Callithrix jacchus: one gene and its partners. The protein of the gene in region 5 purifies or fractionates together with the protein of the main gene of each other region. This does not show direct contact. Links are inferred from orthologs where the notes say so. Each region holds a gene or a part of one and is shown on either strand. Other genes may lie near its edges.

Evidence for each region.
Region 1: the proteins of SNW1 (region 5) and CCNT1 purify together in Homo sapiens (affinity purification with western blotting; 3 studies listed by BioGRID and IntAct, with this or other methods). This does not show direct contact. The link is inferred for Callithrix jacchus from reciprocal best matches to the Homo sapiens genes SNW1 and CCNT1.
Region 2: the proteins of SNW1 (region 5) and PRPF8 purify together in Homo sapiens (affinity purification with mass spectrometry; 5 studies listed by BioGRID and IntAct, with this or other methods). This does not show direct contact. The link is inferred for Callithrix jacchus from reciprocal best matches to the Homo sapiens genes SNW1 and PRPF8.
Region 3: the proteins of SNW1 (region 5) and PRPF19 purify together in Homo sapiens (affinity purification with mass spectrometry; 3 studies listed by BioGRID and IntAct, counting the BioPlex papers as one, with this or other methods). This does not show direct contact. The link is inferred for Callithrix jacchus from reciprocal best matches to the Homo sapiens genes SNW1 and PRPF19.
Region 4: the proteins of SNW1 (region 5) and DDX23 purify together in Homo sapiens (affinity purification with mass spectrometry; 3 studies listed by BioGRID and IntAct, with this or other methods). This does not show direct contact. The link is inferred for Callithrix jacchus from reciprocal best matches to the Homo sapiens genes SNW1 and DDX23.
Region 6: the proteins of SNW1 (region 5) and TUBB purify together in Homo sapiens (affinity purification with mass spectrometry; 3 studies listed by BioGRID and IntAct, with this or other methods). This does not show direct contact. The link is inferred for Callithrix jacchus from reciprocal best matches to the Homo sapiens genes SNW1 and TUBB.
Region 7: the proteins of SNW1 (region 5) and DDX5 fractionate together in Homo sapiens (co-fractionation; 3 studies listed by BioGRID and IntAct, with this or other methods). This does not show direct contact. The link is inferred for Callithrix jacchus from reciprocal best matches to the Homo sapiens genes SNW1 and DDX5.

What each region holds. Positions count from the first base shown.
Region 1 is NC_133510.1:70,881,664-70,885,163, forward strand, and holds part of CCNT1 (cyclin-T1), read left to right. Parts: intron 1-1,181; coding exon 1,182-2,591; 3' UTR 2,592-3,500. UniProt on the Homo sapiens protein: Regulatory subunit of the cyclin-dependent kinase pair (CDK9/cyclin-T1) complex, also called positive transcription elongation factor B (P-TEFb), which facilitates the transition from abortive to productive elongation by phosphorylating the CTD (C-terminal domain) of the large subunit of RNA polymerase II (RNA Pol II).
Region 2 is NC_133506.1:66,559,598-66,563,097, reverse strand, and holds part of PRPF8 (pre-mRNA-processing-splicing factor 8), read right to left. Parts: intron 2,962-3,500; coding exon 2,832-2,961; intron 2,431-2,831; coding exon 2,234-2,430; intron 1,807-2,233; coding exon 1,600-1,806; intron 1,471-1,599; coding exon 1,307-1,470; intron 1,155-1,306; coding exon 1,028-1,154; intron 906-1,027; coding exon 713-905; intron 472-712; coding exon 284-471; intron 159-283; coding exon 1-158. UniProt on the Homo sapiens protein: Plays a role in pre-mRNA splicing as core component of precatalytic, catalytic and postcatalytic spliceosomal complexes, both of the predominant U2-type spliceosome and the minor U12-type spliceosome.
Region 3 is NC_133511.1:117,927,757-117,931,757, reverse strand, and holds the start of PRPF19 (pre-mRNA-processing factor 19), read left to right. Parts: upstream 1-1,201; 5' UTR 1,202-1,425; coding exon 1,426-1,444; intron 1,445-2,346; exon of another isoform or gene 2,347-2,433; intron 2,434-3,868; coding exon 3,869-4,001. UniProt on the Homo sapiens protein: Ubiquitin-protein ligase which is a core component of several complexes mainly involved pre-mRNA splicing and DNA repair. Required for pre-mRNA splicing as component of the spliceosome.
Region 4 is NC_133510.1:70,732,011-70,735,510, reverse strand, and holds part of DDX23 (putative ATP-dependent RNA helicase DDX23), read right to left. Parts: intron 2,605-3,500; coding exon 2,466-2,604; intron 2,188-2,465; coding exon 2,054-2,187; intron 1,922-2,053; coding exon 1,809-1,921; intron 1,575-1,808; coding exon 1,431-1,574; intron 1,334-1,430; coding exon 1,108-1,333; intron 816-1,107; coding exon 670-815; intron 1-669. UniProt on the Homo sapiens protein: Involved in pre-mRNA splicing and its phosphorylated form (by SRPK2) is required for spliceosomal B complex formation.
Region 5 is NC_133509.1:112,696,542-112,700,041, forward strand, and holds part of SNW1 (SNW domain-containing protein 1), read right to left. Parts: intron 207-3,500; coding exon 111-206; intron 30-110; coding exon 1-29. UniProt on the Homo sapiens protein: Involved in pre-mRNA splicing as component of the spliceosome. As a component of the minor spliceosome, involved in the splicing of U12-type introns in pre-mRNAs.
Region 6 is NC_133505.1:35,516,857-35,520,960, reverse strand, and holds the start of TUBB (tubulin beta chain), read right to left. Parts: upstream 2,801-4,104; 5' UTR 2,645-2,800; coding exon 2,588-2,644; intron 674-2,587; coding exon 565-673; intron 321-564; coding exon 210-320; intron 1-209. UniProt on the Homo sapiens protein: Tubulin is the major constituent of microtubules, a cylinder consisting of laterally associated linear protofilaments composed of alpha- and beta-tubulin heterodimers.
Region 7 is NC_133506.1:89,766,629-89,770,574, reverse strand, and holds the start of DDX5 (putative ATP-dependent RNA helicase DDX5), read left to right. Parts: upstream 1-1,146; 5' UTR 1,147-1,257; intron 1,258-1,350; exon of another isoform or gene 1,351-1,511; intron 1,512-1,708; exon of another isoform or gene 1,709-1,743; 5' UTR 1,744-1,878; coding exon 1,879-1,922; intron 1,923-3,134; coding exon 3,135-3,300; intron 3,301-3,640; coding exon 3,641-3,737; intron 3,738-3,837; coding exon 3,838-3,946. Other genes in the region: CEP95 (centrosomal protein of 95 kDa), read right to left, coding at 916-934. UniProt on the Homo sapiens protein: Involved in the alternative regulation of pre-mRNA splicing; its RNA helicase activity is necessary for increasing tau exon 10 inclusion and occurs in a RBM4-dependent manner. Binds to the tau pre-mRNA in the stem-loop region downstream of exon 10.

The DNA of each region.
Region 1 (3,500 bases), on a different chromosome or scaffold from region 5:
TGAAGTCAGGAGTTTGAGACCAGCCTGGCCAACATGGTGAAACCCCATCTCTACCAAAAATACAAAAAATTAGCGGACGTGGTGGTGGGCACCTGTAATCTCTGCTACTCAGGAGGCTGAGACAGGAGAATCACTTGAACCCAGGAGGCGGAGGTTGCAGTGAGCTGAGATTGCACCACTGCACTCTAGCATGGGTGACAGAGTGAGACTCTGTCTCAAAAAAAAAAAAAAACCCAAAAACAACAACAAAAAGAAGTAGGCTTGAGATCACATAGTTCATCTTTTACTTTAGCATAAAATATCACCAAAATTTCTAGAATTCTGTTATGGACTGACTATAATCATAAGCAGAAGGCATAGATTTCATGTATGTGACTTTTTTTTTTGAGACGGAGTCTTGCTCTGTTGCCAAGCTGGAGTGCAGTGGCGCAATCTCGGCTCACTGCAACCTCTGCCTCCCAGGTTAAAGCAGTTCTCCTTCCTCAGTCTTCTGAATAGCTGGGATTACAGGTGTTTGCCACCACGTCCAGCTATTGTTTTTTTACATTTTTAGTAGAGACGGGGTTTTGCCATGTTGGCCCAGGATGGTCTCGATCTCCTGGCCTTGTGATCCACCCTTCTTGGCCTCCCAAAGTGTTGGGATTACAGGCGTGAGCCACTACGCCCGGCCATTGCTGTGACTCTTAATTGAAGGTTTTTAAGCTTTTTTTTTTTGAGACAGAGTCTTGCTCTGTCTCCAGGCTCCAGGCTGGAGTACAATGGTGCAGTCTTGGCTCACTGTAATTTCCGCTTCCTGGGTTCAAGCAATTCTTCTGCCTCAGCCTCCTGAGTAGCTGGTACTACAGGCGTGTGCCACCACACCCAGCTAATTTTTGTGTTTTTTAGTAGAGATGGGGTTTTACCATGTTGGCCAGGATGGTCTTGATATCTTGACCTCGTGATCCACCCATCTCGGCCTCCCAAAGTGCTGTGATTACAGGTGTGAGCCACTGCGCCTGGCAAGTGAAGGTTTTGAAATATTCTTTTGATGGTAATGTTTACTGGATTTCATGTTAGGAAAGTCTCCTGCCTGTGGTCTATCCAGAACTTCCAGTGTTGCTGCCAGTACAATTTACTCATCGCAGTGTTTTTTTATTTAATAAATTACCTGAAGTGAAGAGACGCTATTTGCTTCATTCCAGGCATGCCAGGCTGCCCAGAAAACAAAAGCAGATGACCGAGGAACAGATGAAAATACTTCAGAGCAGAGAATCCTCAATATGATTTCCCAGAGCTCTTCAGACACAACCATTGCAGGTTTAATGAGCATGTCAACTTCTTCTACCACAAATGCAGTGCCTTCCCTCCCAGTCTCCGAAGAATCATCCAGCAACTTAGCCAGTGTGGAGATGTTGCCTGGAGAGCGTTGGCTGTCCTCCCAACCTTCTTTCAAACTAGAACCTACTCAGGGTCATCGGACTAGTGACAATTTAGCACTTATAGGAGTTGATCATTCCTTACCACAGGATGGTTCAAATGCATTTATTTCCCAGAAGCAGAGTAGTAAGAGTGTGCCGTCAGCTAAAGTGTCACTGAAAGAATACCGTGCAAAGCATGCAGAAGAGTTGGCTGCTCAAAAGAAGCAACTGGAGAACATGGAAGCCAATGTGAAGTCACAGTATGCATATGCTGCCCAGAATCTCCTTTCTCATCATGATAGCCATTCTTCAGTCATTCTAAAAATGCCCTTAGAGGGTTCAGAAAACCCCGAGCGGTCTTTTCTGGAAAAGGCTGACAAAACAGCTCTCAAAATGAGAATTCCAGTGGCAGGTGGAGATAAGGCTGCCTCTTCAAAACCAGAGGAGATAAAAATGCGCATAAAAGTCCATGCTGCAGCTGATAAGCACAATTCTGTAGAGGACAGTGTTACAAAGAGCCGAGAGCACAAAGAAAAGCATAAGACTCACCCATCTAATCACCATCATCATCATAATCACCACTCACACAAGCACTCTCATTCACAACTTCCAGTTAGTACAGGGAACAAACGTCCAGGTGATCCAAAACATAGTAGCCAGACAAGCAACTTAGCACATAAAACCTATAGCTTGTCTAGTTCTTTTTCCTCTTCCAGTACTACTCGTAAAAGGGGACCCTCTGAAGAGACTGGAGGGGCAGTGTTTGATCATCCAACCAAGATTGCCAAGAGTAGTAAATCCTCTTCCCTAAATTTCTCCTTCCCTTCACTTCCTGCAATGGCTCAGATGCCTGGGCATAGCTCAGACACAAGTGGCCTTTCCTTTTCACAGCCCAGCTGTAAAACTCGAGTCTCTCATTCGAAACTGGATAAAGGGGCCACTGGGGCCAATGGTCATAACACGACCCAGACAATAGACTATCAAGATACTGTGAATATGCTTCACTCCCTGCTCAGTGCCCAAGGTGTTCAGCCCACTCAGCCCACTGCATTTGAATTTGTTCGTCCTTATAGCGAATATCTGAATCCTCGGGCTGGTGGAATCTCTTCCTCGAGATCTGGAAATACAGACAAACCCCGGCCACCACCTCTGCCATCAGAACCTCCTCCACCGCTTCCGCCCCTTCCTAAGTAAAAAAGAAAAACAGGAGGAGAAAAAAAACTTCTTTAAAAAAAAAATATATATACTTTTTTCTTTTTCTTTTCTTTCTTTTTTTTTTTTTTTTGACTACTGATTTGGACTAAGAAAATTACTTATGAAATATGTTACCCTTCATGGACTAGGGAGTAAATTGGTATTGAGACATAGGTGGGAGGGTAGTAGAAGGCCTTGGCTATTATATCTGCTGCCTCATGCATTTAACTATTTTCTTACAGTTTTTAACTGGTATTAGAGAGGTATTGAAGCTGTGAAGGATTAAGAACACTTTCTGAATTATTGGCCTCTCCACCGTCTAATTAGGTTGATTGGAGTATCTTCCCTCTTCTTGCCAGAGCCGAAAAATTGTTTTATCAGACAATTATGGATCCTTTTGGTGTTTAATATATCAGAAGAGAGGAAGTATTTAAACATCAAAATCTTTTTAAGAGACTTAAAAAAAATAATTTAAAGTAAGTTATCTGTTTAGTTTTTTTATATAATTGGGAAGGGGATAGGGATTTTGCTGTGTGTATGCAATACATAGCAGTGACTCCTGGTGGGTGGGATTGGAGGGTGGGAATGTGTGAGGGTGGGTGGGAGGGTAGGTTTTTGGCTAGGAGTTCTGAAATAGGCTCAGGCCACTTGAAGTGTCAGAATTTTAAGTGTGTATGTAAGTGTGGTTATGTGTGTTTTTAAGTGTGTGTGTTTAAAAATCATGTTTTACCTTTCCTTCCCTGTCCCTTACCATTTTCATTTCCAAACAGTCTACTAGAGAAGAACATGGTTGGCCTTGAGAACATAAAGGAAGAGGCATGTATTTGACATGGCATTTTCCCCTTTCTTTATGTTATAATTGAGTAGTAGCCCTCTAATTTCTAGCTTGGGCAAGTGCAGCCAGTACCC
Region 2 (3,500 bases), on a different chromosome or scaffold from region 5:
CTGAGGAAGTCATTCGGCATCTGAGGGGGCCCAGCCATCTCACTGGCCCGGTGCAATCCCAATACAAGCAAATCCATCACCAGGCCGTAATACTGCACGATGAACGAGGCAAACTGCAGGCCTCTGATGATCCCATATGAATTCGTATGGTTCATGTCCTAGAAGGAAAGAGCCACGATTCTCAACAATCTGGGTCACGTCCCAGCATTCTCTGAGACCCACCTCTTCTGTTCTCCCTCAGCAAATTCTGCGGTCAGTGGACCTGACAAGCCCCAAGACACACCTTGTAGTTGATGACGACGTTGTTCTTGGCGGTCATGTAGTCAGCTATGTTGTGGTCCACGATGAGGCGCAGCAGTCTGTTAAGCAGGGTCAAGTCGATCTTTTCATACATCTTCTCAAAGCGTGATTCCAGCATGACATTGCACTCGCCTTCACTTGTCTCCCACACATCCTGGAGATTATTGATGCCTGAGGAGTAGCAATGCAGGTCTCCAGCAGTTAGAAATCCTCTCAGGACTAGCTCCACAGTAACTATCATGATATTCCACATATGCATCCAGATCGCTATGACTCAGTTTAACATGAACACTACCTTCCTTCTGTGACAGGTATCAAGAGAGGAAACCAATCACACTGCTCACATGAGAATTTTGACGCTGAACTAAATCCACCCCCCACTCCTCACAGGGCAATCTTGGAAAAGTTCTACCTTGGCACCACTTGTAAACCAGCAGTGGCGGTGGCTCTGTGTCTGCAGGCTTAATCCAGGGTGGAAAGAGGCGGCGCTTGTCAGCTTCGTACCACAGGTATTGGTCCAGGTAGGCATCAGTTATCTTCTCCAGCGGCTCTACGTCGTACACTGGAACCAGGTGGCTATAGAGATCCATAAACTCGATGCCCACCTGTGGGACAAGGAGGCTGGTTCACACCAATCCACCTATCACCTGAGGCAACCTGCTACCTTTGGTTCTACCAAGAATGAATGGCAGAACCAAAAAGAAAACTTGGATAGCAGCTCACTCACTTCTTTGAAGGCTCTCTGTGTGAGGAGGTGACGCTTGATGCGGGACAGAGCCTCGTGGGGGTTATCGTAGGCTTGCTCAATCAGACCTAGCTCCTCCCTCTGAGACTGGTTTAACCGAGACTTCACACTGACGTGAAAGCAATGGGAAAGGTGAATGTGAAAACCAAGAGGAAGTCAACCCAGAAAAGAGCGGGCTACACCTTCTTTCTTTGGACTCTGATGAGGAGCCCACTCCCTGCTGTCCCTTCCCAGCAGGAACCTATCTACCCTGCTACTCACCTATAAGCTTCCTTGAGCCGCTCCAATGCCAAGATGAGTAACTTGGTGTCATGCTTATAGGAGAGTGGGGGGAATGGGATCGGGGAGAACCTACGGCTTTCCAGCCAATGCACGGTGGTGGTGTACACTGCCACTGCCTCCTCTGCCGTGATGTAAGGCCCGTCCTGCAAGGGGGACATGAAGTCAGCCTCCACTACAGCCCCATCCCCCGGACAAGGTCTAGTCACAAGGCTGCAGTTCTCGCTCCCGTGTACTCCCCACCACTCATACCAGCCCAGCCTCCTCTGCCCCACCTTCAGGTAGTTGTGCTGCCGCTCCTGTTCTGCCTTCAGGTAGAGCCGCGTGAGGCGGCCCAGGTTCTTTTTACAAACAGTCTTGTCCACAGTGGCCCCTCGGCGAATCCGCTCGCGGTTGTAGTGGGCAGTGTTGGTCCACCAGTCAGCCTTGGCCTTCACGTACCGAAGGATCATATTCTCTATGGGCGTCGGCAACCCAGGGACCTGAAAGTCCAAAAAACACCATCAAGCCAGGTACTGTGGCACACTTCTGTGACCTGGCTCCTCAGGAGGCTGAGGAGGATCACAAGCTCAGGAATCTGAGGCCAGCCTAGGCACCACAGCAAGTCCCTCTCTAAAAGGGAAAAGAAAAGAGACGGGAGCCAATTAGCCCCCTATTGATTCCCGAAGTGGTGATCGCAACCTAAAGATGGATGAGGCCGGGTGCGCCTGTAATCCTAACACTTGAGGAGGCCCAGGCAGGCAGATCATGAGGTCAAGAGTTTGAGACCAGCCTGGCCAACACGGAGAAACCCCGTCTCTACTACCACTGCACTCCAGCCCAGGTGACAGAGCAAGACTCCACCTCAAGGAGAAAAAAAAAAACAAAAAATGGTAATTTACGCCTCCGAGAAAAGAGAGACACACTCACCTTCCAAGGAATGTTGGCTTTCCAGCAGCGCCAGGCTTCGCTGAGGTGCTGCAGGATCGTCCGGGCCTTGTTCTGTTTGATTCCCTCAGGCATCATGTCCAGAATATCATGCATCACAGCTGCCCGAAGCTCCAGGTCAAAATGCGACTCCACTCGCTGCTTTGTTACTGTCTTCGCCACCCCCTTTGAGTGTCGACCTAGAAGTAGAGTGTCCCGTGGTGATTACAAGCAAGATTCCTTGCTTTTAGTAAGGGTCTCTACCTTCATGCCCCTCACTCATTATGGTTACAATCAAATTAGGTATTAACAAAGCGTCCATGTGCCCAGCATACCCAAAAAGACGAGCTGCCTTAAACATTCACAAGTATGCTTCTGAGGAATCTCCACTCTCATGCAAATGCATGACTGCTTCTCAAGGCCCCAGAAGGAAGCCCAAGATATAGAATACTAGGTCATTTGAGAATTGGATCTAAAGGCAATCCAGTAGAAAGGGGTGCTCACACAAGAGCAGGGAACTAGGGCAGGGGACAGAGCAGAAACACACAAGCTACCTTTGAAACAGTAACAGGAGAAGGTGGACAGAGAGAAAACCACTCACCTTCAAACTGCCGGGCCAGGAGGTTGCCCAGCCATCGCTCCAATAAAGGCGTAATGCCACGCATGAAAAACAGCCAGACTCGCCAACCAGCAGCCCAGAAGCCACAGCCAGGACCCTTCCCTACAGGGCCCTAGGAGCCAAGCAGAAGTTCAGAACACAAATCAGCAACACATTTAAAGAACAACAGAAACCTGGGCAGAGGTGGGGCATCAATATATATATACATAAAGGGGAACACGGGTATGGCAGTAGAAGGGAAAAAAGAAAAACTCTGGGACCTCAACATCTAAAACAAGAAGGTAAATGAGAAACCTTAAGGCAAAAACCAGGAACTAAGTTCTCCCATATGAATTTAAAGGAGCAGTAAGAAGACACTCACAGCTGCTCTCCAAATAGGTCCCCAGAAAGAGCCAGTCTAATTGTATAAATGAAAAAAGATCTGAGAAAGTCAGTCGGTAAGGACAGGCACAGTGGCTCATGCCTGTAATATCAGCACTTTGGGAGTCCAATGTGGGTGGATGATGAGGTCAGGAGTTTGAGACTAGACTGGCCAACATAGTTAAACCAAGTCTCTACTAAAAATACAAAAATTATCCAGGCATGGTGGCACACGCCTACAATCCCAGCTACTCAGGAGACTGAGGCAGGAAAATCACTTGAACTCAGGAG
Region 3 (4,001 bases), on a different chromosome or scaffold from region 5:
CATACAGCCAATCACCTGGGTGGTGCTAGCACACAGTCTGGCTTCAGAGTCCATGCCCTTGGCCCCTGTGCCATACTGCCTTTTGTAAGTGTAACTTTTATTTTTCTCTCCAAGCTTTTGCTTATGTTGTTTCTCCTTCTGGAACGTCTTTCGTTCTCCTGCTCTTCTATCTGAATACTGCCCATCTGTCAAAGTTCCTCTTGCTTACACATCCTGTTCGTCCCGCCCTTTTGTCTGGATACCTTTTAGTCCACACCACATGTCCTTTGCATGATTTCTGAGAGTATATTATCTTACAGATATCTGCAAAGAATCATACACTATCTGAGCTGGAAGAGAAATAGCAAATATAAAATAAATTTATAGGAGGCCATTGGTTTGGACTGAGATCTTGCACTAGGCCCAACATACCAAGCCAATAAGAGTTAGTCCTGCTGAAGTTCCATGCTAATGAGCTGAAACGGGGATCTTTATGATCTTCTGAGTAGGAGAGAGAAATTGAGGGAAAGAGGGAAAAAGGTGTGGGAGAGAGAGAAAATAGCCAAATTCCGAAACAGGCTAGTTTTAGATGGCATGATAAGGAAGTTCCCTCCACTTTAACCTTTACAGGAAAAGTAATTTTGACATGACCAAACGACCAATCTGCTTTTTTTGTCTCTGGTTCTGTTTTCCTCAGTCCTTTTCGGTCTATAAATACAAGCTTGCCTGTTCAGCTCATTGGACTAATCATTATATTTTATAGTGAGGAGCGCCGCCCAGTTCTACAGAATTGCACCTGTAATCCCAGCTACTCTGGAGGCTGAGCAGAAGGATCACTTGAACCCAGGAGTTCCAGGATGTAGTACGCTGTGATTGCACCTGTGAATAGCCACTGCGTTCCAGCCTGGGCAACATTGCCAGTCTCTTTAAAAAAAAAAATTAAACTAAACTTTAAATTTGTTGTGATTTTGTCTTTTGACAAAGATGAAAGGGCAGGGAAGTCAATGTGAATTGCCCCAAATCACACTTGTCAAAACAAGTGCTGTCCAACTGATTTGGTTTTAAATTCTCACTGCATCATGGGAAATGTAGTTTCGAGTCTCCTCTCTCCCGACGTCCCCGCCACTCTGCCGGCGCTTTACGGAACGAGCCGAGTCAATCCGGAAATAACCGAGTGTTCGCGGCTGGCCTTTTCCTGCCCGGCTGCATTCTGGGAAAGGGCAATTTCCGTTAGGTGCTGAAGGCTGTGGCGCGCGGCTGTTCCCATTCCCACGTGAAGCGCTACGCTAGCATCGCTCTGCGAGCGGCTCCCAGCTTGCCGCCGAGCAGTCCCGGCAGAAGCGGGGGACCGGAAGTGGCTCGCGGAGGCTCAGAAACTAGTGCCGGAGGCTCAGAAACTAGTCCCGGAGTCCGGCGTGTGGCGTCTCGGAGCGCGGCGAAGGCGCCATGTCCCTGATCTGCTCCAGTGAGTGTTTACTGCGACCGAGCGCGGGTCGCAGGAGGCCGGAGAGCGGCGCGGGACCGTGTGCGGGCCGCTGCGGCGCTCGGGCCGGGGTGGAGGCGGTTATGGGGCGCCCGGGAGGCATAGTGGAGGCCTGTCAACCTCGCAGCCCTCCCCTCGGAGCGGGATGCGTTTGCGCAGTGCTCCGCAGTTTACATAGTGCCTGAGGTTTATTGCCGCAGGCATTACTGAGGCCAATCGCCTTGTTCTACAGAGTGGAAACAGCCTGGACAGAGAGAACTGGTGCAGGGGAAACAGCCTTGATGTAGGAGTTTGGAAACTCCAGGGTCCGCCTCCCGTTGGCTTTGTGAATTGGCTTAAGGCTCTGGGCCCTGGTTTCCCCATCTGCAAAATTGAGGAGCATTGCACTGGTTGTTTTGCGAGGTCTCGCTCGGATGGTCGGAGCTTTTGCAATTTGCAAAGGTCACATGATGAGTTAGAGGCAGAGGCAAGGCTGGCAGCCAGGTTTCTGGCTCTCGGCCTTACACTGTATGACTGATAAAAACAGTCGCACATTTATAAAGCCCTTATTGGTTTACAACGCGCTTCCAAGTCTATGATCTCATTTTATCCTCACAAGAATTCCCTAAAGGAGAAATAAAGATCCTGGTTTTGCAGATGAGGATGCAAGGCTCAGGAAGAGCCGGGGCTTATCTAAGGATGCGTAGTCAGTCAGTGTCAGAGCTGGGTGACGTAGTTAGCTGACATGGAGCTTGGACCCTGAATCCATGCCTTTTCCATACCTTCCACTGCCTTTCCCTTTGATATTTTATCATGACGTTCAGACGTTTCCCTTTAACTTTTCGTTGTTTCATCAGATTACTCGTTTCCCTTCCCTTTTGCTATTCATTTCCTTCTCTTCTCAGAACCTGTACATTGATCCAAAGAGGGGGAAGAAGGAAGGGAAATGATGGAAAAGGATCCCTCACAGTGAAGAAATTACAGCTCGCAAAGTACTTTCACATTCATTGTTTCCTTCCAATCTTGGAGAAGCTTTCTTTTACGTTCCCCAGGACCGTCCTTCCTGGCATGGTTCACTCATTTGTTAGATGTTTACCGAGTGCCCATAGGGCATCTGCATTATATTGGAAGGGAGAGACCAGCTGTAATCCTTATCCTCAAGGGGTGCACAGACTACGCTGGCAAGCGTGTAAATGATACCTCTCTTGCGGGTTGTTGTGAGGACGAATTCCTGTACGGTATGCTTAGAATTGTGCTTGGCAGTGTAATGTGCCATGTAAATATTTTTATTCTAGTGATTGCCACTTTGCTCCTTGGAATATTCCAGGTGATAAATGTCTGTCTGTATGCTCATCAGTTGACTAGTAGCTGGCAGACCCTCAGTAGCTTCAGGATGAGGACTAGTCACCAAGAAAGACCAAGGAGGTATTAGAAGGTTGGGATTTTCAGTCCTACCCCTCACTTAACCTGGGTAAGGAGAGGAGCTGGAGGTTAAGTTGGTCAGCAGTGACCAATGATTTAATGAATCATGCCTTTGTAATGAAGCTTTCATGAAAATCCAAAAGGACAGGATTCAAAGAGCTTCTGTATAGCAGAACATATGGAGGTCCCTGTAGGGTGGGGCGCCCAGGGAGGGCGTTGGAAGCTCTGTACCCTTCTCCCATACCTCCTCCTATGCACCTCTTCGTCCGTATCCTTTGTAATATCCTTTATAATAAACTGGTAAATGGAAGTGTTTTCCACAATGCCATGAGTCACTGTTGCAAATTAATTGAACCCAAAAAGGGGGTCATGGGACCCTGATTTACTGCCGGTTGATCAGACGAACAGGTCAAACAACATGGGAATCACAGTTGGCGTCTGAAGGGGCAGGGGAGTCTCGTGGGACTAAGTCCTCAACCCGTGTGATCTGACGCTGTCTCCAGGTACCTGGTGTCAGAATTGAATTGGAGGACACCCAGACGGTCACATCCGAGGTCACAGAAATATTTTGTTTTGTGACAGAATAGGAGAGACTGAGTTTGTTATTCCTATGTTCTCAGACTTCATAATTTCTTTGATAATCCCTCTGGAGCTATAGACTAAGATGGATGGCAGGCATTAGAATAGCTTCATGTGTATCTCCAGGTCATGGAGTAAACTGTATTCATAGATCATTGTTCAAAAATGAGAGGGGCGGGGATATTGAGTGCTGTTCTCTAGGTGCTTGGCACATAGTAGTTGTTAATGATTATTTGTTGACTGATTGTCAGGAGACTAATGGAGAAGCTAGTTCCATAGCTGGAAAGCATTCTGGGGCCAGTACAGAACTGGCTTAGGGTCAGATGTCTTGCTTCCTGCTAGTTGATTGTGAGGATGCTTAGTCTTGTTGGGCGTAACAGCAAGATTGCCTTCACTCCAAGCTCACTGCCGGCCTTTTCTCTACAGTCTCTAATGAAGTGCCGGAGCACCCATGTGTGTCCCCTGTCTCTAATCATGTTTATGAGCGGCGGCTCATTGAGAAGTACATTGCAGAGAATGGCACTGACCCCATCAACAACCAGCCTCTCTCCGAGGAGCA
Region 4 (3,500 bases), on a different chromosome or scaffold from region 5:
GGAGTGATGGAAATGGGGAGGGTGATAAGAAAAGAACGCAATGATCTCACTTCAACATCAGAGGCTGGGTCTGGGCAAAGTGGCTCAAGCCTGTAATCCCAGCACTTTGGGAGGCCAAAGTGGGCAGATCACTTGAGGTCAGGAGTTTGAGACCAGCCTGGCCAACATGGTGAAACCGTGTGTCTACTAAAAATACAAAAATTAGCTAGGCGTGGTGGTCAGCACCTGTAACACCAGCTACTTGGGAGGCTAGGCAGGAGAATCACTTGAAGCTGGAGATAGAGGCTACAGTGAGCCGAGATCCCACCACTACACTCTAGCCTGGGTGACAAAACGAGACTCCATCTCAAAAAATAAATAAATTAAATAAAATAAATTAAAAAATAAAAACCAGAGACTCCAGAATAGCAAAGTTCTCCAGGTCTTTGCCAGCAAAAAATAAAATAAAATAAATAAAAATCAGAGACTCCAGGATAGCAAAGTTCTCCAGGTCTTTGCCAGCAACATATAGTTCTATGATACCACAATCCAATTATTCCCTAATATTCAACCCAGAATAAAGAAGCAAGCTTCTGATTATAGGTGTAAAACAAAAACCAAACATTCATTTGCCACTTTCATCTTTCCTACCCAGAAAAACCCACTCCAGCTGGTGCCAGCTGACCTCACCTGTCAATTTTGGGAAGTGTGGTGATCCACACCAGCAGTGGGATGAGGAAGGCTGCTGTCTTGCCGCTGCCAGTCTCAGCCACACCAATGATGTCACGATTCTGTAGCCCAATGGGAATTGCCTGACGCTGGATAGGTGTTGGTTCCTGCAGTGACCCCAAGAAAGAGTAATAGGTACAGGCAGAATTATACAACCTGGGCTACCATTGATAGTAGAAAGCACATCTCCTAGCACAATGGAAGGATGCCAAGTACAGTCCACAGAAATGGGGACCCCAAGAAGAAACATAATCACTAAAAGCCAACACTTCTACTAGAAACTGATAGAAAAGGTTGATGCCCACTAGCAGCAATGGTCCCAAATAGTCAAGGAATAAAGTTCTGTATTCCCAAACTAGGAACATGTCAGATCTCTTGGGCCAATCTGCCCCTCCTTACCTTGTAGCCACACTTATCAATGACCTCCAAAATGTGTGGGGGAAGAGAAGAGTCTTTCCAAGATCGGATGGGATTGGGGATCTTGCCGCCTTTGGTGGTGATGCTGTAGTCCTCACGGAAGATCCGCCAGTCCCTGTCCGTCATCTCATCTAATTTTTTCTGAGACCAATGACGATCATCCCAGCGCTGCTTGGCTTCCTTCTTACGAAGTTTTCGGAGTCTTGCCCTGGAGCAGGATGTGAGGAGTAAGTAGGATCAGTGCCCTCCAACTCCTTTCTGTAGAGACTGGGCTCTGTCCAGCCACCCTAGCCTTGATCACTCACTCCTCCTGCTCCTTTTCTTCCAGGGTTCGTCTCTTCTCCATTAGGTCTCCATAGAAACGTGACTGCTCTCGTTTCTGCTGCTTGAGGTCAATGCCTGCAATGAAGCCTCGCCCCAGTAACTGCACCTGGTGCCGTTCTTTGTACCTGGGATTGAGACAAAGGAAGAAAAAAGAGAAGGAGCTGCTACGGCAGTAGGAGGGAAGGACAGATTGCCAATATGAAACAGTTCTTCCTGGACAGGGTCTTCTTTCCACCAGAGGGTTGGCTGACTACTAGTCTACCAATTTTCCACCCCAGCTTATCTTACTTACTCCAGTCATCAGCTCTCTAGGACTGCCCAGTGGAAAAGACCTAGAACTCAGGCCCGAAGCCACTCACAGGGGATTGTAGTCGATGGATGTGTCTTCAGATGCATCCCACTCAAAAACAAACTTTCGGTCATTGAGATGTCTCGTTCGGCGCCGCTTTTTGATGCCACCCAGGTAACGCTCCTGCCCAGGGAAAGAACACAAAGCACATAAGCCTCGAGGCTCAAGTCTCACATGCAGAGATCACAATGGCCAAATAACTAAACCTCATTTTTGTGTATGGGAGAGAAGTGAAGATGGAGCCAAGGCCTGCACCTTAATGGCATGCAGTTCCTTGCTCTTATCCTTCTCTTCCCGGATCTTCTGCCGCCCTTCCTCATCCTCATTTCCATTGGTCTCCCGCTCCATCCTCTCCCTGCGTTCCCGACGTTCCCGTTCCTGAGGATCTTCTGCAGACCAAAGAAAGCAAAGCTGCAGAAGAGCTCATGGAAGAAAAGAGGAGAGGGAATGGAGGGAATCCAGATGAGGAACACCAAATGAAGAAAAAAAGGGATAGACTTATGATACAGGGTAAACGGAGATCTAACAGAAAAATGTTTTCTCATCAACTCCCACCATCTTTCCCTTTTCCAAACTTCAGAGTGAACAGGTTTCTATCTCTCCTGAGAAACACTATCTCATCTCTTTCCTCTCCCATCTAGGGGCTACACAGAGTAGAATAACGAACCCAACATCTTCCTGCCCAAGTCTTGGAACTGTTTCCTTTTCTTCCTCTCTTCTTCAAGCATCTTCTGCCGCTCTTCCACCTCCTGCTGCCGTCGCTTTAGAGCTTCAGCCTCTCGTTCTGCTTTGGAGAGGAACTTGGGCTACAAAACAGATTGGAACTGTAAACAAAGGATCTGGGAGCAGAGTATAACCACATCACTGATGGGGAGATGGCAGGGAACCCAAAAATATTTGCTCAGGCATTAAGCCTGTTGAGGAAAATACAAATAGGCCTTGGATCCTGTTACGGACTGAAATATGTCCCCTATGGATTTCATGTGTTTTTTTAGACTGGAAGCAGTGGCACATGCCTATAATCCCAGTGCTTTGGGAGGACCAGATGGGAGGACTGCTTGAGGCAAGGAGTTCAAGACCAGCCTGGGCAACATAGCAAGACCTTATTTCTACAAAAATAAACAAACTCAGCAGATATGGTGGCATGTGCATGTAGTCCCAGCTACTCAGCAGGCTAAGGCTGGAAAATCATATGAGCCCAGGAGTTTGAGGTTATAGTGAGCTGTGACTGTACCACTGTACTCCAGCCTGGGCAAAACAACAAGACCTTATCTCTTTAAAAAAAAAAAATTCATGTGTTATATGTATTTTTTGAGACAGTCTCTTGCTCTGTTGCCCAAGTTGCAGTACAGTGGTGTCATCAAGGCTCACTGCAGCCTCAGCCTCCTGAGTAGCTGGGACTACACACGCATGATACCACAACCGGCTAATTTTTTATATTTTATAGAGATGGCTTTTCAGCATGTTACCCACGCTGGTCTCGAAATCCCTGACTCAAGTGATCCTCCCATCTTGGACTTCCAAAGTATTGGGATTACAGGTGTGAGCCACTGTACCCAGTTCAAAATTCATATGTGGAAGCTCTAACCCCCAGTACCTCACAATGTGACTGTATGTGGAGACAGGGCATGTAAAGAGGTGATTAAGTCAAAATGAGACCATTAAGCTGGGCACAATGGCTCACACCTGTAATCCCAGTACT
Region 5 (3,500 bases):
TCTAAGGCTACTCTTGTCTTTTCTGTTATCTGAAATAGGAAACATCACATTGAGAGTTTGGAAGTTAATCAGGATGTAAATAGTCATCAAATATATCAATTCCCTGTTACCTCTTTAATAGCTTCTTCATCGGGCCTTTGCAGGTCTGGGTCATCTGCATTCATAACCTCCTTTGGAACCAGGTCAGTGTATTTGCTGTAAATGACCTAAAATGTTCAGACACAAGTAGGCTTAAGAAAAGCAAACAATGAAAAGAAACCTCATTAAGCCACTTCAGATGTCAACACGTCCTCTCAATAGACTTAAAAATTTGGGACACTCAGATTTTGTCTTTTAGATTTTAAAACCAAGGATGATTAAAATAAATATACACAAATTGCTATCCTGGCTATAAGTTGATAATTTTCCCTTGACCTCATGCATTTAAATTATTTGAGATCTTCTAATCAAGTCAGTGTCCAAATAAACTATGCCAACAAAATCATGCATCAATGATCTCTATTTTTGAGGCTCACTAGGTCTTGAAATTAATGATAATAGAAATTGCCTATAGGACCATTATCTTGGATTACAAACTCATCAGAATTTAATTCAGGTTACCAAGTATTATTTCCAAAGTCACTGGGCCTGGAAAATTTTATTGACCTCATCCTACTTATAACGCTTCTCTTTTCTGCTGTCAACTCTATTCACAGACTAAGAAAATAAACATGTGCCACAGTTAAAAAACCCAGAACACTTTCTTCCGTGAAAAGACAAAAGGAAAAAAAAGAAAAATATATATACTCTATATATACAACTTATTTTATATCCATTATCCAAATTGAGGCCTGTTATATGACTTCTAGTAGGCCCAACATGGCTTCTGTTAGGGTGATGCTGATGTGGCAGGCCCTTAACAAATAGAATATTGGTTGCTTTCAGGTCCATCTATGCTTCTTAAATATTTTCATAAAAAGTTTCATGGCATATATTAAAGTAAAAAAGAAATACAGAAAATTCAATAAATAGGCATTCTACACTTTAATGCTTTGGTCAGAAATTCTTTGATGTACATTAAAAGGACAACTTATAACTATCAAAGAAAATAAAATTCCTAGGCACTCGAGATCTTCAGAATTTTTTTGTAGAAATGTTTAGTGCTACAAGCAGTCTTATATTAATAAAGTCTATCATACTTCATTCTTTAAAACAGTTTAAAGGAAATGGATGCTATTTCTAATTTTATACTCCAAACAACAGAGCAAAAAAGTGTGAGCCACTTCATGGCTTACACAACTTGACCTGACTTTGCCTATGCCTTCAATCTCCCCTTATAACTCTTACTCTCTCACTCATTATGCTTCAGTCACACTAGCTTATCATCTGTTTCTTGAACATAACATGCTTTTCCCCAATTCTAGGCCTTTACAGAGTGCTGTTCATTGTTCTTCAAGTAAGCTCCCAATCTGTGTATTTCAGATCAAAGGTCCTGCTTTAGTGAGGCTTCTTCTGACTGCCCTTGCTAAAGTGGCAACCCCTCCCCACCCAATCATTTGCTCCATAACACTGTTTACTGTGATCAAGACTGTTCACAGCATGAAATTATTTATCTACTTTACTTGTTTATTATGTCTCCCCTATTAAAGCAATTAAAATAGGGCTGGGCATAGTGGCTCACACCTGTAATCCCAGCACTGTGGGAGGCTGAGGCTGCAGATCACCTGAGGTCAGGAGTTCAAGACCAGTCTGACCAACATGGAGAACCCCATCTCTACTAAAAATAGAAAAATAAGCCTGGCATGCTAATGGGTGCCTGTAATGCCAGGAACATGAGAGCCGAGGCAGGAGAATCATTTGCACCCAGGAGGCAGAGGTTGCTGTGAGCCAAGATTGCACCATTGCACTCCAGCCTGAACAAGAACAAAACTGTCTCAAAAAAAAAAAAAAAAAAAAAATCAAAATAATAATAGCTACTATTTAGTAAGCACTTTATATGCCTGTTTTTTAGAGTTTATTAACTAAATAAGCTTTTTATCAACCCTAGGAGGTATGCACAATGATAATACCCATATTACTTGTCAGCAAAATACATATATATATTTTTTTCTTTCTTTTTTTTTTGAGACAGAGACTTGCTCTGTCACCCAGGCTAGAGTCAGTGGCGAAATCTCGGCTCACTAAAATTTCCGCCTCCCGGGTTCAAGAGATTCTCCTGCCTCAGCCTCCTGAGTAGCTGGGACTACAGGCACGTGCCACCAGGCCTGGGTAATTTTTTTTTTTTTTTTTTTTCAGTACAGACAGGGTTTCACCCGATTGGCCAGGATGGTCTCCAACTCCTGACCTCATAATTTGCCTGCCTTAGCCTCCCAAAGTGCTGAGGTTAGAGGAGTGAGCCACTGCGCCCAGCCTTGGGCAATCTTATTATTAAAGTATCTACTGGCCAGGTGTGGTGGCTCATGCCTGTAATCACAACACTTTGGGAGGCCAAGGCAGGCGGATCACCGGAGGTCAGGAGTTGGAGACCAGCCTGGCTAACATGGTGAAACCCCGTCTCTACTAAAAAAATAAAAAATTAGCTGGGTGTGGTGGTTGGTGCCTGTAATCCCAGCTACTTGGGAGGTTGAGGCAGGAGAATCATTTGAATCCAGGACGCAGAGGTGGCAGTGAACAGAGATCGTGCCACTGCCTTCAGCCTGAGGAACAGAGGGAGATTGTCTCAAAAAAAAAAAAACAAAGTATCTCCTGTGCTTATAATAATGACTAGTCCGAAGGAGATATTCGATCAATTTTTTTGTACAAACAAATATATAAATGAATTTTAGAGATGCTCTGTTACATGCTAAAGGTGTTTATATGATTCATGCCTGTAATCCCAGCACTTTGGAAGGCCAAGGTTGGAGTATAACTTGAGCCCAGGAATTCAAGACCAGCCTGAGAAACATGGGAAGACTGCATCTCTATTTTAAAGAATAAATGAATGAATGAGTGAATAAACAAATAAGTTTATATTTTAGGTCCTACAGAACTTTCTATAAGCTATTGATTGCTCAGAAAAAAACTATCTCATGGCTATTCGCTGAAATCTCCAGCTTGTTTTTCTCCGGAATGAGAAGAGGGATCAGGTAGGACAGCATAAGATGTTTTAGCACAAAACACATACTACTGATATGTGAGCTATTAGTGTCATCATACTCTAAGAGTGTTCATTTTGAAAGGGATCATAAAACTTACTCTATTGAAAAGAGTGAGGCTCAGTACATTAAGATCACATAGCTACTAACTGACCTCAAAAGTCTTATTTCCTCCCATGATGGAAAAACTTATACAACCATAAGCTGAAAATTATATAACAACACTAGAAAAATATACCAAGTCTATGAAGAGTTAATCATGAAGAGTTTATCACTTCTCCATAGCAATCATTATAGGAAATGATTCTAAGTAAACAGTTCCCTGGTAGTCATACATGTTCAACATAAACTGTCAATAGTAATTTAGCATACAAGAGTCATTTGCTG
Region 6 (4,104 bases), on a different chromosome or scaffold from region 5:
ATCTTCTTTCTCCTTCTCTGTGATGTATTCTCCCCCCACTGCCCCATAATTTACCAGCAATAGCAGTACTACCTCTACCCTCCATTACATTTCAGAACATAGTTCTGTATTAGCACGCCAGGGCATCATCTCCTAACTTCTGCTCTGTCTTTGGATCTAAGTAAGTTGAACACAATGGTGTATCATCTGCTAATATCTGTATAACTCACCAAAAACAAAGTTGTCTGGTCTAAAGATCTGGCCAAAAGGACCTGAGCGAACAGAGTCCATGGTCCCAGGTTCTAGATCCACCAGGATGGCACGAGGAACATATTTGCCACCTACAGAAAATAAAGTAAAAGCTGTGAGATCTGGCAGAGAAGGCTGGGAGACAGCGGGGACCCCAGACCTGTCATTCCAGGTGCTGCCACCAGGTGGCAGCAGACGTCTGGCCCTGACGGTGGCTCACCCAAGGCAAAGGATGACAGATCACCCAAAGAGTAAGGCGTGCCCAAGAATGTAGAGAGACCCAGAGAAGTGGGACACACGGAAGGGAACCCGAGCTGCCCGGGCTCCTGCCCTCACCTGTGGCTTCATTGTAGTACACGGAGATGCGGTCCAGCTGCAGGTCACTGTCCCCGTGGTAGGTGCCAGTGGGGTCGATGCCATGTTCATCACTGATCACCTCCCAGAACTGCCGGGTGAGAGCAAAAAGTACAACAGCTCAAGTCCCAGCCAACTATGTCGAAAGTACCATTTTATCTTTTATTTTTTTTTTGAGACGGAGTATTGCTCTGTCACACAGGCTGGAGCGCAGTGGCAAGATCTTGGCTCACTGCAACCTCTGCCTCCTGGGTTCAAGCGATTCTGCTGCCTCAGCCTCCCAAGTAGCTGAGACTACAGGCACAGGCCACCACGCCCAGTTAATTGTTGTATTTTTAGTTGGCCAGGATGGTCTTGATCTCTTGACCTCGTGATCCTTGGCCTCTCAAAGTGCTGAGATTACAGGCGTGAGCCACCGCACCCGGCCTCTTTTTATAATTTTTAAGGCAGGGTCTTCCTGTTGCCCAGCCTGAGCAGTGGCGCAATCACAGCTCCAATACTACCTGGAGCTGACAAGCTCAACCGATTCTCCTACCTCAGCCTCTGGAGTAGCTAGGACCCCAGACGCGCGCCACCGCGGTGCACAGTGAATTTTTTATTTTTTTTGTAGAGACGGGGTGGGGGGTGGGCGGTCCTCGCTTTGTTGCCAAGTATCCGCCCGCCTCGGCCCCACACCTCCTATTTTAATTCCATATGCCCTCAGGCCATTGTTCTACGGCCTGGCATCCCGTGTGCCTGCCACACCCTTCCCCTAGACACTCGCTCCCCCGGGAAGTCACAGCTTTCTCCGATTGGGGTGAGGTATGTGCAGCGATTCCTAAGCGCTCGGGTGGGCGGAAGGAGGTCGACCACAATAAGATAAGCGCCGCTCTCCTTCCACAGCGCGGGGCACCGCCCCACCGCGCCAAGCACAAAAGGCCGGGGACTGGGGGTCCGAGAAGTGAGTGGCTGCCGCAGTCGACCACCCCCCGCCCTCCATGTGACTGCAGCGCACGCGCAGGTCGAGCCGCCGACAAAAGGCTTCGCGCGTGGGCGGGGCCAGGGGCAAGAATTCCGCGCACGAGGGGCGGGGCCCAAGGTAGCGCGCCCCCGCCGGCGGGCAGGACCGCACTGTCCCCGCGCGCGCCTCGGCCCCGCCCCGCAGGGCCCCGCCCTTCTGCTACAACGTAGCAGCCGCACTTCCTCCCGCCCCTCCCCCGCTACACTGTAACCGCGCGCAAAAAAAAAAGAAAAAAAAATTCCCCTTGGCCTCGAATTTTATTCCTTCGCTAGATTTCCCCCCCTTGATTTAATGCATTCTTTCTCTCCCCTTAAGTCCTGAGGGACTTGGTAAAAAAAAGTCACACACCCCATTTTCTCCCCATATCCCTTCACGCCCTAAAATGATCTCTATTAGGGACCATGAAAGCAAGTAAAATTAATCCCGCTCTTATTCTCCTTCCACTCAGGGACGATCCGCTCTCCGGGGTCGCGGGCGCGCTGGGCTCCCTGGTCTTTTGTGAAGAGTAGCCCGCAGCACAGCCCACCCTGGCGCGTCGCCCCCCCACCCTTGCACTGGAGCTCTCCGCAGCAGCCCGACTGCCTCGCCCTTACCCGCTCGGGTTTGGCCCTTCGAACCCCGCAGGGGGGTTGGGCGGGATGCACATGGGCAAAACCTCGCCCCGCTTTGTCTTCGACCATTTCCGCATCTCTCTCCCTGCCCGGTTCTCGGACCGTTAGAAGCCCTTCTAAGTGAAAAGCTCACAGATCCTCCGTCTTCCCGCCCCCGAAACCCGAAGAGCCCTTTTGCTAGTTTCTCCAAAATGTGTCTGCCAAGAAAAATGATTCCCAGCTTTCCAAAAGCCAATGCTAGCTACAACTGTTATGTATATAAATGTTACAAACTTGGTTGGGAGAGGCAAGGCTTGATTAAGGATGAAGGGCGCAAATGCCCCACAACCATTTTTTCATAAATTACCTGGATTTTTCCTTCTAAAAAGAAATAAAAGAGGTGTAAAATTCTTACCTTGGCACCGATCTGGTTGCCACACTGACCGGCCTGGATGTGCACGATTTCCCTCATGGTTAAAATTTAATTTTTTTGCTCGCCTCAAGGTATGTACGGGGCAAAAAAAAATAGGTAATTATTTTTCTCTGCTGGTCGCAGGCTGCAAGGTTGGAATGCGCCCCAGAGCTGGAGTAGCGAGGTGCAAACGCGGCGGCAGGAAGGTTCTGAGAGGGAGAAAGGAGAGGGGAGGGCGCGGAGGAAAGGCAGGCTGGGCGGGGCGCGCGTGCGCCGGGGCTGGGAGGCGGGAGAATCGGCCCCTCGCGCGGTCGGAAGACAAAGCCTCATCGAGCCTGGCCCTGATTAGTCGATGTCGGTCATGTACCGGGCGTCCATTGGCCTCTGAGGCAGTGGACGACTGCAGTCCTCTCTGGGAGTTGTAGTCACCTATTGTTGTCCACGCTGCAAAATGAAGTGACGAATGGGTGGATACCGGTTTGGTTTTTGTGGGGTTTTCGTTTTGTAAATGAAAAACGACCTTGCGCAAGGTTCCTTTCCTCTGTGCCTGAGGTGTTTGTACAAAAAGTGATCAGTTCTCGGGGATACGGCAGTTCAGAAGTCTGGGGTTCCAGAAGTTGGGTGGTGCGATAGGCACGCCTTGAAAGCTCCCGGCTGCAGTATCTCTGGGGAAGACAGGATTGCTCAGCTCAGCGAAAACTGGGAGAAGTGTGGCACCGAGGTAGTCTGCTACCTCTGGCACTTGGTGACCCAAGGCCTGAACTTCAGTAAGCCTCTGCTCCCTCAAACACTTCAAGGAGGGAATTGCCCTCTTGCTGTTTCTTTGGGAATTTTCGAATCATTGTTTTGAAAGAGAAACAAAATTGCAGCAAGGGCTTTTCAAGATAGAGATATCTGGAGAGTATGTTCAAAGAATAAAATGAATGGTTTAGAGAAACCGATGTCGGGGATTTCTGAAGCCAGAAGTCTCCATCCACATAGGAAATCTGGACCTTAGGGCAGAATTTGAAGACACCTTGGTCTTGTCAGATAGGGAACTGTGTTATGAGATGCCTGATAGATTTTCAATTTTTTTCAGCCTACCTCTCTAGACACGTTGATGAAGTCAGTGGTTTTTCAATTCGCTGATTTCACTGACCAGGTGGCCGCCGTCTCTACAACTCTGCCAGAGATCCAGTATTGAAAAAGGAGAGGTGATGGATGGGGGGAAATTGGATGCGCCCAAGACAGAGTCCATCTGCTTCTTCCCAGAGATATATTCACTTATTTGATAGATACTATGTATCCACCAAATTAGGAACTAGGGATACGAAATGATTAAGAATTAGCTCCCTGTACTCCAGGATGTTGCAGGCTGCTGAGAAGCATACAGTCAATAAAATGTCGTAAGCACTCAGAAATGTGGTATCAAGTCAAAGTCATTGTTAATTCACATTCGATGACACACAGATACATGTATTTCTAAGTTGCCTTCTAAATAAGGGAACATCAACTTGTATAAGCCCCTCTCTACCCACGTA
Region 7 (3,946 bases), on a different chromosome or scaffold from region 5:
CATTTATTAAGTTTTTCTTTTTTATTATACTGATCTAAATGAAAGGAAATATGGGAAGTATATGAAAACATCCCTAAGCTCAGAATTATCAATACTGTTGACCTTTCCTGTGCTCCGGACTCCCCTCTCCCAGATATTGCTGGGACTTGCAAAGTTTAACGGTTTCTCTAGCAAAAGTAACTTCGCATAAAATACTTGTTCCCTGAAATGCCTGGCATTGGTAGGAAAGCACTTTCCTTCGGTACTAGACACAAACGTCTCCACTATATTCCGGACACATAACGTTCTGGAAACAAATGAGTGTATCTTCCATGCACATAATTCCCCTCCCCACGCCCATTTCTCACAGTTGGCCAAACCGTGAGAACTGGTTTGTATGCAGTCCTGGCGAAAAGGATGAAAGCGTCCTAGACAACCAAACCAATTCGCTTTTCAAAAGCGTTGCTAGACAAAGCCCATGACTTCAGAGAACACTGAAGAGAAAAAAGCACCAGTATTCTGCGACATGGGCATCAACAAATCTTAAGGTGCTGTTCCTTTAAAGACCAATACAAAAGTAGATTAGACCTCAGGACCCACAGTACAAGGGCGGAGGGCACACTGACAGCGGCCAGACAACTCCACAGAAGGACAAGTCCGGGAACGACCCTTCTGGTTGCTCTTTTTGCACCCAAGACCCGAGTGTGCTACCAGGCTCGCCCCAGTGCCTCTCTCCTACCGCCTATCACTGTTCCACAGCCTCACAGAGAAGGAGAAAAGCTGAGAGACCCTATCCAGAGAACCCGCCACCGCGACGCGGCGTCTGACAGTCACGAGTCCCGCCGACAGCCTAGACCCAGTCCGGGCCAGCCCAAGGCCTCCCTGAAGCTGGACGGCCTCAGTTCACACCAACCGTGACCCCAGGCCGACACTCACCAGCCTCCGAGCCGGCCATGTTTTGGAGGCAGTTTGCCGCCGGACCCCTACAGGCCAGGCAGGCTACGGTGTCCTGGAAGGACCGATCCACACAGATTCGACGCTTGGATGAGGGCGAACGAACCCAAGCGCTGGGAAGGAGGCGTGAAAGAGGGAGGGACATCAAAGGGGCTGCTCGCCGCTGATTGGTCACAGAGCAGCACTTCCTTTCACAGCACGTGCCAGGGCGGCGGTTTGCTGAGTTTAGAGACCATTCTCCGCTGGCCAGAACCCGGTAGATGATTGTCAGATCCGTGGGTCGGCAGCCCAGGCGGGTCCTGGGGCTTTGGGAGCGCACTTCCGGTACTATTTCGTTATGTATCCCTCCGCCGACGTCAACGGAGAAGTAGTGCGGCCCGCTGACCGGTGGCGGGGGTGGTAGTCACGTGACACGCCAGTCCCCGCCTGCCATTTGGTTACGGGCGTGAGGGCCCTTTGGAGACGTAAACATCTCCGAGTGAGGAGGGTTGGCTGGCCTGGGCAGGCTGTTTTATCGTCTGGCTGGGCCTGGGAAAGGGCGGGGTGGCTTGCTTGAGGTGTGGAAAGACGAGAAGAAGGTAAGGTCAAGAGAGTGCAGAATGAGACATTCCAATAGTGGGTGGGCCCTGAGCTGAGAGGCTCTCCTGGAGCGCCGGCTGCCGTTGCGGCTTCTGCGCGACGGGCGGGGCGATTAGGTCATAGAGCGGATCCCAGCGTTCCTTGCGGCGTAGGAGGCGGTCCAGACTATAAAAGCGGCTGCCGGAAAGCGGCCGGCACCTCATTCATTTTCACCGGTCTGTGGTCTTGTAGCTCCGGATTGTGTCATCGCCGTCCGTCCTCCGCTGCCGCCCCCGCAAGGCTTCGCTGTTGTCGAGGCCATTTCCAGCGACTCGTCGCACCCTTTTGTCTGTACTTCGTTCCCCGCCAACCGCAACCATTGACGCCATGTCGGGTTATTCGAGTGACCGAGACCGCGGCCGGGATCGAGGGTGAGTGTGGAAGCCGAGCTGTCAGGCCTAGCAGGTGGGGGATGGGACGGCAGGTGAGGGTGGCGGCCGGCGGGGGCTTTGGGGCTCGGACTCGGCCTTTCCGGATTCTCCTGGGGCCTCGTCTCTTGAACACTTGCGCCATTTTGATAATCACGTAACAGTGATTGGGAGTGGTTTATCGGTGTAGTGCCCTCAAGCTCGCTTTTTGTTGGGATTAGGAAGTCGTCGGGGCCGCTGCCATTTGGTAGCTGTTGGAGGAATTCAGAGGGAGCATATTGTGCGTTGGAAAGCACGACGTTTCGAGTAAGACGAAGTAGCAGCTCTTAGATTCTGCCTTTCAGGAGGTGTTTTTCGGGTGGCCGGGCATTCTGTGGGAGCTCTAGGACCACTTCTAAAGCCACTGATGCTGGGGGGGGTTAGGAGGGCGGTCGGCATTGCCGGCATCAGCCATGTGGCTGAGTCGCGGGTACAAAATGCCGGCCTCGGACATGGCGGCGGCGCCTTTGTTACCCCGCCCGGCGGAGGAGCTCAAAATGGCAGCGTCGAGAAAATGTGGCGCAGAGAGAAATGCGAGACAAAGGGGGAAGCGCCGCCCCAGCGGGAACGCCGCCCGGCCGGCTCCGCCCGGGCCGGGACTCCTCCCCCGGTAGTCGCCGGCTCCTCCTTTTCTTTTTTCCTGCGTTATATAATTTTTATTCGTTGATCGGGAGCTCTACCGCGGCGTCCCCCCAGCTCGGTTTGCTAGCAGAAGTATTTGCGAGAAAACCCTTGTTTTGGTCTCGCTGTCTGTGCTGTCTCGATTCTTTAACACCAAAGCTCTTTGGCTTGAAAACGGCCATATGAGTAACATCGTTGGGATGCTCTTTGGTTCGTGTATCCTTGTTATCCCTGATACTTAATTCCTAGACTGGTGGGGAAGATTATAGTAACCGCAAGAAGTGGTGTGTATCCGAAATTATGGCATCTGGGCCGCAAGTTCCCGACATGATAAATCCAGGGCTGTTTACATGGCCTAAGTGTGTACTTGGGACTACTAGAAATGTTAACTGTGGCTAAGAGAAAGACTATCGTTAAGGACAGTGCTTTGTTTACTAAACCTCTTAAGGTCGTTTTTCAGTGATCTGTAGCTTTGTGTCAAGGGATGGTAAACAAATCTGTATAGAAACCTGTGTTTAGATATTTGAAAACGTGAATAACGTTTTTTCTTTGCAGGTTTGGTGCACCTCGATTTGGAGGAAGCAGGGGAGGGCCTTTATCTGGAAAGAAGTTTGGAAACCCTGGGGAGAAACTAGTTAAAAAGAAGTGGAATCTTGATGAGCTGCCCAAATTTGAGAAGAATTTTTATCAAGAGCACCCTGATTTGTCTAGGCGCACAGCAGTGAGTAAATTAATGTGGCTTCATCAGGCTGTAACTCAGTAATGGATTCTAGTAAATGAAAATCTGACAGGTGTTTTGCAAATGATTCAATTTTGGTAGTTACGTTTTCTGACTTCATAATTGGGAAAGTTGTGACTCAATAGGTGGCTTTGGGATTTTTTTTTTAACTTAATTAGGTTGAGAACGGAATAAACTGTTCTTTTGCCATATAGTGTTTTCATATATGGGTCAGATAAAAACGAAAGCTACTTTACTCAATTACGAATTTAGGGGCTTACCAGTTACATTTAGCTAGGGGTGGTTGCCATGAACTTTAAGACTGTTAAAATTTGTTTTGCAGCAAGAGGTGGAAACATACAGAAGAAGCAAGGAGATTACAGTTAGAGGTCACAACTGCCCGAAGCCAGTTCTAAATTTTTATGAAGCCAATTTCCCTGGTAATTCTAGTTTTCAGTTCTATCTACCACTGGGATTTTGTTCCCACCCACTCCCTTTTACTTGGCATTACTAATTTTTACTAAATATCTGTCACTATAGCAAATGTCATGGATGTTATTGCAAGACAGAACTTTACTGAGCCTACTGCTATTCAAGCTCAGGGATGGCCAGTTGCTCTAAGTGGATTGGATATGGTTGGAGTAGCACA